2 linked regions of the Canis lupus familiaris genome follow. The protein of the gene in region 1 purifies or fractionates together with the protein of each later gene. This does not show direct contact. Links are inferred from orthologs where the notes say so. Each region holds a gene or a part of one and is shown on either strand. Other genes may lie near its edges.

What was found. Proteins that work in one complex are often made in the same cells at the same time.
Region 2: the proteins of SLC30A1 (region 1) and CSGALNACT2 purify together in Homo sapiens (co-immunoprecipitation; 3 studies listed by BioGRID and IntAct, counting the BioPlex papers as one, with this or other methods). This does not show direct contact. The link is inferred for Canis lupus familiaris from reciprocal best matches to the Homo sapiens genes SLC30A1 and CSGALNACT2.

Annotation. Positions count from the first base shown.
Region 1 is NC_049228.1:9,810,452-9,817,722, forward strand, and holds the start of SLC30A1 (zinc transporter 1), read right to left. Parts: upstream 4,253-7,271; 5' UTR 4,215-4,252; coding exon 3,599-4,214; intron 1,976-3,598; coding exon 1,074-1,975; 3' UTR 1-1,073. UniProt on the Homo sapiens protein: Zinc ion:proton antiporter that could function at the plasma membrane mediating zinc efflux from cells against its electrochemical gradient protecting them from intracellular zinc accumulation and toxicity.
Region 2 is NC_049249.1:4,092,912-4,100,335, forward strand, and holds the start of CSGALNACT2 (chondroitin sulfate N-acetylgalactosaminyltransferase 2), read right to left. Parts: upstream 4,816-7,424; 5' UTR 4,736-4,815; exon of another isoform or gene 4,646-4,735; 5' UTR 4,358-4,645; intron 3,202-4,357; exon of another isoform or gene 2,533-3,201; intron 2,315-2,532; exon of another isoform or gene 2,118-2,314; intron 1-2,117. UniProt on the Homo sapiens protein: Transfers 1,4-N-acetylgalactosamine (GalNAc) from UDP-GalNAc to the non-reducing end of glucuronic acid (GlcUA). Required for addition of the first GalNAc to the core tetrasaccharide linker and for elongation of chondroitin chains.

The DNA of each region.
Region 1 (7,271 bases):
TGGTTGTACTCGAAAAAAGCTGTTTGAATCCATTCATGATTGGTCACCATGAAATGACTAAGTTTTTAAACACCTACAACTTGAAAGATTACACGAATAAGCTTGCATTTAACATATAACCTATTAGATTAGCTTTAATGTCCTTAAAAGTATTTACTGTATATATTTCTTAAGTAAACTTTCAGCTCAATGTTCCTAATGCCAATCTTTCAGAGAAAGTAATGCTGGTGAACATGTCCACATTTCAGACTAACTTTGGTAAAAGAAAACATGAGTTAAAATTCTCCCCAATAATTTTAAAATGTGGTCTGAATATTAACTTCTAACAATCTAAATATTTAATTTGGTAAACCTTCTTCCCTGCTCTTACTCTTCATATGCCCTATTATATGTAAACTGTAGTTCAAGTTGTTAATTATCTCAACTGTTTATTAGAATAATATTCAGCAATATAGAATCCAGGATGGTAACTGATCTTCAGAATTATAAATAACCCATGTGAAGAAAAAAGGAAACTTTTTCCTAATAATATCCATGAGTCATTCTTAAAAACATGTTGCCATTATGCTATGTAATGATCTCAGAGGGCAAGTAAATATTACCTAAAACGTCAAAGGAAACAAACCTGTTGATGATTTTTCAAGTTTAGTGATTATAATCCTAAAAAACAAAGTATAACACTGGGGGAAAAGAAAAGCAGAGAAATTCCAGTAACAATTTTAATTTATTTATCCCCCTAATTAACTTTTTTTTTTTTACCATGGAAAAAACTGGAAATCAAATGTCATTATGTTATATAAGGTTTATACTTACTTTAAACAAAAATGTAACATAGTGTTAAAACTGGCTTTCCAAAATTGTTACAGCATAGCTGTACTCTGCACTAATAATCACAAAGTTGTAATATAGAACTCTGTTAAGCAGTCCCATTATGTTCTTACAAAAATAGAATTAAACTGTGTGACCAGACAAGGACTTCAATTACACTACTTGGCAAACTTAGAATTTCAATGGAGTCTTTTTTTCCTCTTGCAGTTTAAAGCAAAAGTCAAATATCACATCTTTCTCAAGACTCACAAAGATGATTCAGGTTGTTTGTTTGGCATTTTTTTAATCTCTATCACAACAGCAGGGATGCTTTCAACTTTAGTCCTCCGGGGCTTCTTCTCTAGATTGTCGCTAAGTTCTAGACAAGAAATGCTAACTGTTGGGGCCTTTTCTGCATCCTTTCCAGAAGGGGCTTGTGGCCGTGTCCCACAACACTGCTTCAAAGCACACTGAGTTCTGCAGGCAAGTTCACACGGGACTACACTTGATTTAGAGCCTACGCTAGCAAATTCAGGCTGAATGGTAGTAGCGTGAATTCCGTGATTATGAAAAACGTCTTTAATGATTTTGGCCACCTGCATGTAGGATGTCGGGTCTTCACATTTTATGTGAGCAGTGGCAATGATTCTGCTTCCAGCAAGTTGCCAGACATGTAATTCATGAACTTCCTCAACTCCTTCAACATCTCGAAGTTCTTTTATCAAATTTTTGATATCAATTTGTTTAGGAACAGTTTGCAGAAGAATTAGAGCAGATTCCTTAAGTAATGGATAAGTTGTGTAAAGAAGTATACAAACCATTACAATGCAAAGAGTTGGATCTAAATATAGCACCCAGCAAGGACCAGCCTCATGAACTGTTGCATGAGTACTATTAATTATTTCTACAAATGCTTTGCAGGGGTCAGGGATACATGGATTCACACAAAACTCCCCTTCAGGACAACCCCTCCAAGAAAAGTAAAAGACCAAGGCATTTACTACTACAATCACTGAACCCAAAGCATCTCCAAAGACATGCAGAAAAACTCCACGCATGTTAAGTTGTGCAGCCTTATCGTCATCTTCCAATTCCACATGGTCAGATTCTCTGATAAGATTCCCATTCACTTGTACTTCCACTGCATCATTTCTAGACTTTTCTGGATCTATAAAGAAAGGAAAAACGCTGTATCAAATACATTAGCAGTGTTTATACAAACTTCTTCATTCAAGTCCATTTTAGTGAAAGAGGTGAACATTTTTCATGGAATAAAATTTTTTTAAAACGTGCCCAGGACAGTTTATTATATAAACTGACATGTTGGGAACAAGCCAGGGCAAAATCAAGTCCTTAAGGAGATAGTGCTTCCCCGTTCTCCAAACCAGCCCCCTACTTCTCCCACCTCCAAAAAAAGTTCATCTTTTCTGTGGGGGTGGGGTCCCCTGTACATTCTGCTCTACTTTTCGGCATATGCAAGAGAAAACGTAAAATCGAATGCTATCACCCACAAATTAAATGCAACTAGGAAGAAGTCTACTACAAATGCCTGATTTGACACACAGCTCTGGTCCCTCTTTGTCATTAAGGTGTTGTAGCTAAATCTTAACTTTTATCATGAACAGAAACCAAGAAAAGAGTCTCTTGGTGGAGTGTTTAGAAACGACAAATCAGCAATATGAGCCCATCAACAATCATAAACTTCAGGAAAAGCTGCAACGATCACTATCTACCCTACCAGTTCTTAAACCAAACGTACCCATCTTTTAAAGGAATTACTGTCTACACACCAGAGCAGCCTCGTTTTCTTTGGAATAAGACCTCGCAGAGGGGGAGTAAGGGGAAATTCAACTGTTTAGTAAACCTTTCAATGTACAAGTTCAATTTCATTAACGTGATATCCTGCACCTCGAAGAAAGAACAAGTAGTATCATCCGACTAAACAAATAAATATAAGCGGAAAAAGGCTGGATGGAAATACACCAAATTATTAACATCATCAGAGCTTGGGGAGCTGGGCTTTGGTCGATTCCTTTTCCCCATCTCTTTTCTTTCAGCATTTTCCAAATTGCTTTCAAGAGTAATCATATTTAGAGGGGGGGGGGGGGAAGCATCCAGTAAAAAGGGAATAAGGGAAGTCACCGTCAGGCTTATTTTATAGTATGATTTTCCAAAGTCCGGAGTGAAAGGTTAAAACATGACCAAACAGGGTCCTGAACTAGGATCTGCAGGATTAGGCTCAGACTGGAGACAAGTAAGTGAAATACACACACACACACACACACACACACACACACACACACGATGCCCGTTCGGAAAAGACACCTTTCACCGGGCTTTTGGGGTGAGGGAAGTCCATGGCTAGGGGGGCTCTGAAAAGAAGAAACTTGTTTGAAGGGCACAGGAACTACTCGGGCAGGGCAAGGTTTGTGACGGCCAACAACTCAGGATGAGGTGGGGATTCTCTCCGTTTCCCAAGGGGTGGGGGTGGGGGTGGGGGGTCGGGGGCAGGAAACTGAATTAGGAAGCACTTTGGATTCCGTGGAAACCCCGATCAGGAGAGTCTCTCGGGAAGACGGCTCCCGAGGGCGGCTGTGGACGGTCCCCCCCCCCCCGCCCCCTCTGCCCCCCGCCGCCCTGGGTCCCCGAGAGCCCCGCGGGCCCCGGACGGCGGCCCCGGACGGCGGCGGCGCGGGCAGCAGGGGGCGTGCGGCCCTCCCGCCCCGGGCCGGCCGAGGGTCCCGCCGTCCCCCGGCCCGGCCACCTGCGGTCACCCTCCCCGGCCGCTCACCTGGCCGCTCCAGTTTCAGCCCGTTGGAGTTGCTGCTGTTGGACACCAGCGTGTTGGTCTCCTCCGCGTCGGGCCTCTGCTCGCCCGGGGTCTCGCTGTCGTCGCCGGCCCCGGCGCGGCCGCCCTTGCCGCGGGCCCCCTTGGGGAGGCCGTGGCCGTGCCCCCCGTGCGAGTGGCCGTGGCCCGAGTCGTTGCCGAAGCCGCTGTGATGGTGGAAGAGGCACAGCCCCATCACGTTGACCAGCAGCCCGGCCACGCCGACCCCGAGGACCACCAGCGGCTGCTGCATCTCGTGCGGCTCGATGAAGCGCTCGATGGCCTCCAGCAGGATGGCGAAGCAGAGGCCGGTCAGGAAGATGGCGTTCACCAGGGCCCCCATCACCTCGGCCCGGATCCAGCCGAACGTGTTCTTCTGGGTGGCGTGGGTCCGCCGGGCGAAGCGCTCGGCCACCAGCGCCACCACCAGCGCCAGCACGTCCGACAGCATGTGGAAGGAGTCGGAGAGCATCGCCAGGGACGAGGTCACCTGGCTCACCACCACCTCGAGCACCATGAACATGAAGGTCAGCAGCAGCATGCACACCAGCCGGCCCCGGTTGCGACCCCAGCACCCCATGGCTGCGGGCCGGCGGCTGCCCTGGCGGCGCGGGCGCGGGCGCGGGCTCGGGCGGGGGCGCGGCGCGGGGGGCGCCGGGGGGCGGGGGGTGCGGGGCGCCGCGGGGCGGGCTGCGCGGCCGGGCGGGGTTGAGCCCCGGGGTCAGGCCGCCGCGCCCCCGCGCCCGAGGGCGTCCCCGGCGGGCGGGCGGGCGGGCGGCGCGCAGCTGCTCAGGCGGCCGTGCTCGGGGCCGGCGCCGAGGCCCGGCTCAGCCCCAGCAGCCCCCACACCACAGCGGGGCGGCGGCGGCGGCGGCGGCGGCGGCGGCGGCGGGGGCCGAGGCGGCGGCGGGGAGCCGGGGCTGCTCCGGGGGCCGGGGGGCGAAGAGCCGGAGCGGCAGCGGCGGCGGGCGGGCGGCGGGGGCGGGCGACGGGCAGCTCCGCGCTGCCAAGGCTGCGAGCATCTGCAGGGCTCTCGGCGCAGGTCTTCCCGCCGCTGGTCTCCTCCGCTGGGACTCGGACCGCGGAGCTGACGCCTGAAGAGCTAAAAAGGCGGCGGCCCCGGCAGCTGCACTCGGCCCGGTCTCCGGCGCCTTCTTCGCCCCCCCGCCTTTGCAGACGGTTTACAAAAAAACTTTGCTTTGCACTCGGAACCCCCGTTTTCACACGGACCCGAGCGTGACAAGGCCCCGGCGCCCCGCCCACCAGGCCCGGCACGCCTCCCCATTGGCCGGGACCCCCTCACGACAGCCTCCGCTCCCCGCCCTCCCGCGCTCGCCATTGGGTGGGGGCTCGGGGGGGCGGGAGGGGGCGGGGCCGAGGCGCCAACAGATGGGGGCGGGGCCTTCCTCTCCGGGAGCCGGGCGTGGGCCGGGGGCCGCGGCCGGGTGCAGCGGCGGGCGTCGTGGGGGAGGGTCGGGGGCGCGGGCCGCGTGCAGCAGGAGGGGGCGGGGCGGGGCGGGGCGGGGCGGGCGCGGTCCCCCGGGGCGCGGCGGGGCGGCTGCCGGCGCCCTGCGGGTCCTCGCGGCGCCCCGCGCGCCCACGGGGGCCGGGCGGCCGGCAGACTTTGATCCTCCGCGCCGAGTCCACGTGGTGGGTGAAGGGACGGCTCGGGAGGCGAGTTGACCGAAGTCAAGCCATCTTGGTATTTCGGCTGACCCTTAACCTAAAAGTCAGCAGGTCATAAAAAGAGTCACAAGATCCCACTGATGGAAGACCACAAGACCCGACTCCCTCTGGCAGGAGCAGGCACAGAGGCTGCACATTCTTAAAATTGCTCCCTGTGGGTAATTGCACAGCCCTAGGACAACAGGACTCCCCGCTCGGGGTGGGTGATAAAGTTCAGCAGTAAGCCCCTCCCGAGACCTCAGCCGATTTTTTAAAATTAAAAAAAAAAAAACAAAAAAACTTACAAAACCGTTACAGGCAAAGGTGATGGGGGGGGGGTCTGCTGCCCCACCTGGGAGGAGAGACCGCTGCTTTGTCTACGAAGGGCCCCCCCTTCCAGGTAGACTTTGGTCCCCGTCCCTAAGGGCTGGCTCCCGAATGCCCCCTCCGCCGAGACACCCCCCCCCCCCCCCCCGGGCCCGAGAGCCGCCCTCGCGCGGCCTCCACCCGCCGCCGTCCGTGGAAGAGACCAGAGACTCTGCGGCGCTGTGTGACCGACGGCAGCCCGGGATGGGGGGGGGGGGGAGCCGGGGGGGGGTGTCCCCGGGGGTCCACGCGCCCTTCCTGCCCCGAGACCCGGGGTGACGCGGCCGCGCTGAGCACCTCGACCTTCCGAGCGGTCCTGCAAACGGCAGGAGCCGTGTCTCTGAAAATGTTTCAACCGAGCAGACCACCCCTATCACCAGCATCCCTAGGAGACCTTGTGTAAAGCCAGATATTATCTAAGGACAGTGTAGGGCACCGACGTCAAGCGGGAGCAACCCGGGCTCCGGTGCCAGCTGTGGGACTTGGAGGAGCGTCACCCAATCTCGCTTAGACCTGTTTCTTCATATAGTAAAGGATTGGGCAAGAGGAACTCTTTAAGATCCTTTCTGACTCTAAAATTCGAAGGCTCTGTGATTGAACAAACGTTTTATTTATAGACTACAGAGAGCTGAACCCTGTGTTGGTTGCTATGGGGAAGGGAGGGCCAGTTAAGAATACAAAAGCAGGCGCTTCTGTCCAGGTGGAGGTAAACTATCAACATATAAAATGTTGGAGTTACACTGAAATACTCAATAAATTGTGCCAGCTCTAGTTTAGAGTGCATCCGTATGCGCTGTGCGCTGAGTGATGAGTTCACCTGGGAAGTGAAGATTTCCTGTTCCTCAAGTGGAGGGGTGGCTGCAATCAGAGTCACCTAAGCTGGACCCCTAAAGGCCTTCCACATCCCCCGCCCCCCAGCAGAAGGAAGAACCCCCACTGTTCTGGATTGCTACAAAACAAAAGCAGTGCTAGCCTGTGCCTCAGGATCTATATATAAGGCTAGTTTGGAGCCATGTTATTTTGCATTTTAAAAAATATTTCTATTTCTGTTTTCTTTTTCCCCATTTGTATGTGGTATGTTTCTCATTTCTCCATCCAAACTACAGAGCTGGATCCCTCATCTTCTATTTCTGTTCTCCAGCAACAGAAAAGAAGGGAGAAAAGTTTTCCAGACAGTATAAAAGGAGGAATTGATAGGAGTCGATGGTGAATTGGGAGGGTGAAAACGAAGGAGGAGAATTTAACCAAAAGAGTTCAAATGTTTTAACCTGCTAAAGAAAATACTGCTTTATACAGGTGAGGAAGTTGGTGAGGTGGGGTGGTGGAGGGAGGAGCTGACTTTAAGGGGAAACTAGCCCATTTTTAGTGTGCTAAATTTGAGATGAAGTCTGGATGGTGACAGTGCTAAGGAGTGGGGAGATGGGACTTGGGGGTTCATAATAGTTCAACTGTCCGTACCCCCTTTGGTGTGGACAATTGACATTTAACTGATCATATTGAGTAAACACAGCTTCAAACTTCCTTCCAACTAGCCCCTCCAATCTAGAAATGGGGTGCCACTTATGGGTCAAGATATTCCAGGGAAATGGCTGAGAGGCAGTTGGAA
Region 2 (7,424 bases), on another chromosome or scaffold:
ATAGTTGAAGTCTTATATCCAAAGATCTTCTTGTACCCTACCCTTGTAATATGCCCATCCTGGCAGTAAAGAATGGCCTCAGGGCCATTCACAAAATTGTTATTCCCCATTCTCTGGCCCATATACCATCCTGTGAGCCACTTGCTGAAGACACTGGCTGTAGTGAATCTTTGCTCGCTTTTTTCAATGTGCTTCTAGAACAGGACAGTCAATAACTTTTTGTACATATTAATAGCAAATTTCCACAACATAAACCCTACAATTTTAACCATTAAGTATACAGTTCAGTGGTATGAAGTACATTTACATTGTTCTACATAGCCATCGCCACTATCCAGCTCCAGAACTTTTTCCTCATCCCACATTGAAACTCTTCCCCCATAAATACTAACTCCCCACTTTACCTTCTCCTGGCCCCTGGCAACCAACATTCTACTTTCTGCCTCTATGAATTTGACTGCTCTATGTAACTCATATGAATGGACTCACATACTATTTGTCTTTTGAATATGTGTTTGAATGACGACAGTACCTTTCTTACCTTCACCTGGGGAAGATAACTGTCCTTCAGGATGGTCATGCCCCAAGGGTTCACCGAAGTATCCTACTATTTTTCTCAAGTTGTTAATCAAGATCTAAATGATCTAATTTTAATTAAATGAAAAGGAAAAATGAAAAAAAATTAAATTATCTAATTTAAGTTATCTAAATTTCCCTTGTGATTGTTAGGACACCATATGTAGATGATCTCCTACTCTACTCAGAGAAAAAAGGATTCCATTTACTTATTCTCAGCCTTAGAAGAAGGTCATAATATTTCAAAAGACAAATTGCCATTTTGCCAAAATACAGTCTATTATTTAGGATGTGGTTCAACTAGAAGCAGAAAACATTCTCTTCTGATAGACTAAAACCTACTCAAATCTATGGTAGCTCCTTCACAAAATCACATCTGAGAGGATTTAAAGGTTTATTTATTTATTTTTAAGGATTTTATTTATTCATGAAAGACACACAGAGGGAGAGAGAGAGAGAGAGAAAGAGAGAGAGAGAGAGAGAGAAGCAGAAACATAGGCAGAAGATGAAGCAGGCTCCTCGCAGGGAACCCAATGTGGGACTCAATTCTGGACCCTGGGATCATGCCCTGAGCCAAAGGCAGATGCTCAACTGCTGAGGTATCCAGGGATCCCAGGATTTAAAGGTTCCACTAGATTTTTCAGCCCCATTGTTGCTAAATTTTTCTGTGATTTTTATACCTCTTTATGAACTAAGTTCTTAGTAAGAGATTCTCTCCTCTGGGAGCCCCAAAATGAACAGGCTTTCTGGAACCTGAAGGTGGCTCCTCAGTGACCTCTTTCCCTAGACATCTGAAACAACAGAAGGCCCTTCTGTCTATTTGTGCATGAGCAATCTGGACAAGACCTTGGAGTTTCACGGGAACCATCCAAAACCCATCACTTACTACCTAGCCTTCCCTTGACATGCTATATGCCCCTAGTGTTAGGGCAGGTGTTCTGCTGCAAAATTTGTGGATGCTTCTGCCGAGCTAGTTCCAGGCTCCTCGCTTGACCTCATGATCCTTCCTGAAGTAGAGACATTACTATTGACTGGAAACAGCACTTCTCAGCCAGCTGCTTAACATCTTATGAAATTCTATTACTCTCTCCCTCTCAGGTACTACTTACTGCTACAATACCCTGAATCCAGACATTCTGCTTCTCTTAGCAGAAGAAGGGGAGCCTAGTGATCATTTTACCTCAGATAATTTGGGAACTCTCTGTACCTTACTCACATGTATTATAGTCTCATATTGAGAACCCTGAACTAATCCTGTTTGCTGATGGATCATTCTCGAAGCTGGAAGATATCAAGCAGCATGTACTATCATTAATTGAAGGTCTCCTTTAGAATTTAGTCCTCTCCTGAGGTAAAATCAGTCAAAATGGCAGAAGGTGTTGCATTTACTACAGCTTGTTAACTAGCCAAAGACTAGAGGGTAAACATATAATATAGACAGGAAATATGTTTTTGGGGTGCCACACAACTTTGGGATGCTAGAACCCCCACAAAAATGGACAAGTTAAGCAACTTTTAGATGCATTCTATTTACTACAAAGGTGACTACTATGAAGGTCGAGAACCATGCAAAAAGAGACAACAATATTGAAGCTAAAGGCAACGCTCTGCAGATCATGATGCCAAACAACTAAATTTTCTCCCTGAAACTATTCATGGAGCACAAATTGATTACTACCTTAAATTGACACTGGAGAAGCTGTAAAGGGACAGCTGCATTGTTCTAAATTTCATGTGGGTAAGTCATGGTGTGTGCCAATCCTAATACTGTCCTTGGATCAGTGACACAGGGAAGGTGGGGCAGGCTCTACAGTGCCTTACGGGTAAAAGCTACTTGCTCTGTAAAACTGACCCTCAGGACCTGTATGGAATTTATTCTTGGGCCTGGGTTAGGATTCTGGGTTCAAAGCATCTGACAGGGGTTATTAATTGTTCTCATTCTTATTTATGTCATAGGGGTAGTAATACTGGTCCACTGCATTCTATCCAGGGTCTGAAATGCTTCTGCACAGCTACTTTCCTCATCAGATGATCCTCATGGTGATACAACAGAAAGGCTGAAAAGACTTCATGATACAGTTGGCCTTGTAGAGGACTGAACAATCAATCTCAAAGTGGTGAAGATCTGGATTTCTTTTTTTTTTTTTTTTTTTAAGATCTGGATTTCTAGACTTCCCTAAATTCACCAACTTCTCACAAGCAAGAAAATGATCAGAAAGGAAGACTGAGAGACAATATGCAGACATACAATGACCAGACCACATGTAAACTGAGAAGCCCTGACCCATACCTCTGTAGGAACTGGCCCAGAATGGTCGGGGCTTGGTCTATGACTGCCACGTTCCCCACTTTTGCTATTTCCAAATCAGAACCAATCAGAGAGAGCCAAATATGTTCCCAAAGCAAATCTCATAAGATGCCCGACTTCTAGGTAGCCTACCTTCCGCTTCCCCCTGCCAACAACTTCCAAGCACAACGTGCCTGAAGCCTCTCTCCCTCACCCCCTTTTTTACTGTAAAGCTTTTCCCTCCTCTGCCTGCGTTCGAGTTTCTGTCAAAACCAACTGATGGTGGTTGACTCTCTTACTATAGCAAGTTCAGAATAAATAACCTCTGCTTGTTCTCATTTGGATGGTCTTTACTTATTTCCATGAAACTTAAGATTATAGATAATTGGGGTCCTCTGAAAAAAATACAATTTTCTACCACAATGCTTTTTTTAAAAAAATATTTTATTTATTCATGAGAGACACAGAGAGAGAGAGAGGCAGAGGGAGAAGCAGGCTCCCCAAGGGGAGCCTGATGTGGGACTTTATCCCAGAACCCCGGAATCATGACCTGAGCCAAAGGTGGATGCTCAACCACTGAGTCACCCAAGTCCCCCACACAATACTTCTTTTACTTCAATGACTATCTCATGAAAGACCAGAATCCTTCCATCCTCTGTATCACTCCTTTTCTTAAAAATCTGATAATCTTTTCTTTCCACACATTAGGAAGTCCCCCAAACCCTTGGCATGCACCTGACCTGCCAGGCCCTGTGGCCACAGACCCTCCAGGGAAATTTCCTCTTTAAAGCTCCCAGGATGGGGATCCCTGGGTGGCTCAGCGGTTTGGCGCCTGCCTTTGGCCCAGGGCGTGATCCTGGAGTCCCGGGATTGAGTCCCACGTCAGGCTCCTGGCATGAAGCCTGCTTCTCCCTCTGCCTCTCTCTCTCTGTGTGTGTCTAAAATAAATAAATAAATCTTTAAAATAAATAAATAAATAAATAAATAAATAAATAAATAAATAAATAAATAAATAAAAAATAAAGCTCCCAGGAGGCACAACATGTGAAGCATGTCATAGGCCCTTGGTGAAAGAAGCATCTGAGGACAGGGGCTGTGACACAGGCACCATGTGGGCTCCCTACAGTCCTCTGGGCAAAGTCCCTTGCCTCAGGGAGTAAGAGGCAGCCTTGCGTTCTTCCTTCTTCCAGTCTAGACCCTTCCCAAACCATAGGAATGACTTTACTCCACAGGGGAAATGACATGTGCAGAAAAGGACTGGCATGGAGGTGAGAGACAAGAGCAGCCAAAAAACATATGGTTTATTCTGGTACTGTTTACAAAACTGACCAAGATTAAAAGAAACGGGGACACTTAAAATGAACTTCACATTTTTATTCATGAAATTGATCATTTTCATGGTAAATATTATGTTTATGAAATATCAAAATGATTTCCTTCTCAAAAAGTTACTTTTGTGTTTTGTTTTGTTTTTTAGTTTTGGAATGTACTTACCTTGCTTCTCATGCTAACTTTGAACTTGAATTGCTGTGTCCTCTGAATGGATGCAGGGTTATGGTGCCTCCCGGTGTGGAACAGAACTCCTGAAGTCATGGTGGTTGGGTTGGAGTGGTCTTGGGTTGTGACTCCTTCCATGCTGCCTGGCCCAGTTCCTTGTGACACTGATGTTTCTGCAGTCACCAAGTTCCTGTAGATGGCTTCCCTGTCACAACTCTGGGCCAGGCTCACATTGAGAGATGTCGGTTGGCCAGGTCCTGTGATTTAGCACATCCCACAAAACATCTGCAAAATTATCTCATTACTTGACATAGCCATCAAAACCTGAGTTGCAAAGATTAACCATGATTTCTTTTGGGCATTGATAGTGCATACCTCTTTGACTCTGGGTGTGATGCTCACTCTTGCTGCTGTTACACTGCCCCCCCCCCCCCCCGCCCCATCCAGCCTTGGCTGCAGAATGGATAGGTGCTCCAAATTGAAAAATTCTCTACATAGAGGTTCTGATTTTTTGTGATGTCAGCTAAGAACAGTTCCTGTGAATCCCTAGAGTTCTAACAAGGCCATCAAGGTTGCTGCCTGTGGAGAAGAGATGAGAGAACAGAACAGGCAGACTGTTTTCTGCACAAGGACAAGAGCAGAGGATAAGGTCTGTGAATATCTTCATGCTGAAGGGATGAGGAAGCTCCTCCACCACTACGCATGCCCTTCAGACCACCATGTCTTTCCAGAGCCACAGAGTTAGGGATTTCTCAGGCATCATCTAGAACCACCCTAAATGCCACCTGCTAAATATCTTATACATGAATATGCCCAAGGGAGGAGAGGAAACCATTCACTGGGGGAAATGATGCTTTATTTATACTGGGGAAGATTATGCTTTCCCTTTGAATTTTCTATTACATATAAAGTATTTGTCCAAGCCCCATTCTCAGGCATTATATTCAACTAAATTTCCACTCTTAAAATAAGCTGCCCTTATGGTAGAAAAGCATCATTTGTGGAAATTGGTGGAGAAATGTGCTTTTTAAGACAAATAAACCAAACATACAAACACTACTAATGGAAGTTCAATGCTCTTGAAAAAGGGGGCTTTTAGTATTTTAGTATTAGCTTTTCTCAGCATGGGTTTCTAAACGGTCAGAGGAAAAGACTGTAACATATCGCTCACCCTAGAAATTACGTTTACTTCCAGCCCCTGTGATTCAGATTGAAGGGGGACGTCAAGAGTGGACATGGGTGCTGAGGCCAGAAGCCAGAGCTCCGAGGGCCAGGGGCAGTCTGTCCAGGTATGTGTGTGTGTGTGTGTGTGTGTGTGTGTGTGCACGTGTGTAATGACATAGGCTTTTGGCATTTCACGACACACTCAGAAATCAGATTTATATTGGTAACAACTTGTGTTTGCCAACTGACCTATCTGCTCCCTGCCAGGCATTTGAGGAGGAGTTCAGAGAATGCATGCATAACCCAGCAGAAAGACTTGGTCTTTTAAGCTTATGGTAGTTCAGGGCAAAAGTTTATCACTGACTGTACCAGACTTTCAGTTATGGCTATGCATTTTGCATCCCTTCTTGCACATCTGTCTAATGGCAGCTTTAAGAAATCAGCCCCATTTGCTAGAGAACCGCAAACACCTGAACTCGATGTGGCTGTTGCTCTCTTTCAGGGAAAGAAACACAAAGGAAAGAATGGTGGAACTAGCTGCACTTTAACAGTTCCCATAATGTGCCTAGTCACCTACATATTGTTCAAGATAAGTCAATGACCAAGCACCTCCTAGTTCTTTGAGCACTGTCACTTCCCCAGGGGTTACCATGACAGATCTCCTTGTGGTATTTCAATCCTTACACATTGAAACTTCAAAATCAGAAACCTGATGTTTCCAACTGGGAAGTTAAAAAGAGAAAAGAAGTTTACACATTTTACGATAGATGATTTTATTCACATAATTGAAATTATTTCCTTAGTCACCTTGTTACAAAAGCAAATTAACAATGGTATGGTTTAGTAACCTTTCATAAATAGATTTTACAAATTTTAATAACTGACAGATTGCTACTTAATGCTCAGTAATACTTAATACTTGGTAACTTCAGTGTATATGCATATGAAAATAGTCTGCTAGGACCAGTAAGTATGAGTGCTTTTAAAACTCAGGAATAGACATTAGATAACTGGTCAAGGGTTAAGACCTGGAGCTTTCACCCTGCCAGGAACAAACCCACTGTGGCAACTCGCACCTGTTGAGTAGGTATCTTTTAACAATTTGAAGAGTTTATCCTTTTTTCTGCATTTAATAAGACTGTCATTAACCACATCTGAAAACCAAAAGTTTACCACAACTAGATTATTTGTAAAAGAACTTATCACAGTGTGTCTGAAAAGTGGCCTAAACTAAAGCCACGTTACAGCGTGTTTTTCCAGCTCTCTGCGGGTTTGTGTGCACACGCATACACACACATACTATGAGGCTCTGCTACATACTCATCCAAGCTACAAAAATGCCCTAATTTTACTGCTTTTGTGAAACGCCTATGAGATACAGCGTTTGGATGAGACACTGTCAGTCCTTTACAGTGCTTTAAGTCTGAAGGCCAGGCAGCGTGTTGGGAACTGACCCTCTCCCTAGAAGTTACAGTCAGAAGAGCAGCTGGGGACTTCCCGAAAGCCACCCCCACAGATGGGAGGAGTACTGAGTGTCTGTGACCACAAACAAGCAGTGAAGAATGTCAAGAAGCTTATGAGTCATGGTCAGAATCTAATAAACAGGAATGTCTCACTATAGCAGCATTAACTTACAAAGACAGAAAGAGTGGATACACGTACCTTTTCACACAAGCTCTATGAGAGCCAAAACATTGTCTTTTCCACATCAGAACTGTAATCAGAGGGTAGCAGTCCTTGGTCATTGTCAATGTTACTTCTAACATAACTAGCTGAACTGTCCTTTTTAAGCTGAGCACTAACCCCACCCACTACTCCTAATGTATGAGACGAGCCACTGCTTTCTGGCGCTGGACATGTGGTGCATGAAGGCTGGCAGCAGTGGGATTCACAGCAGCCA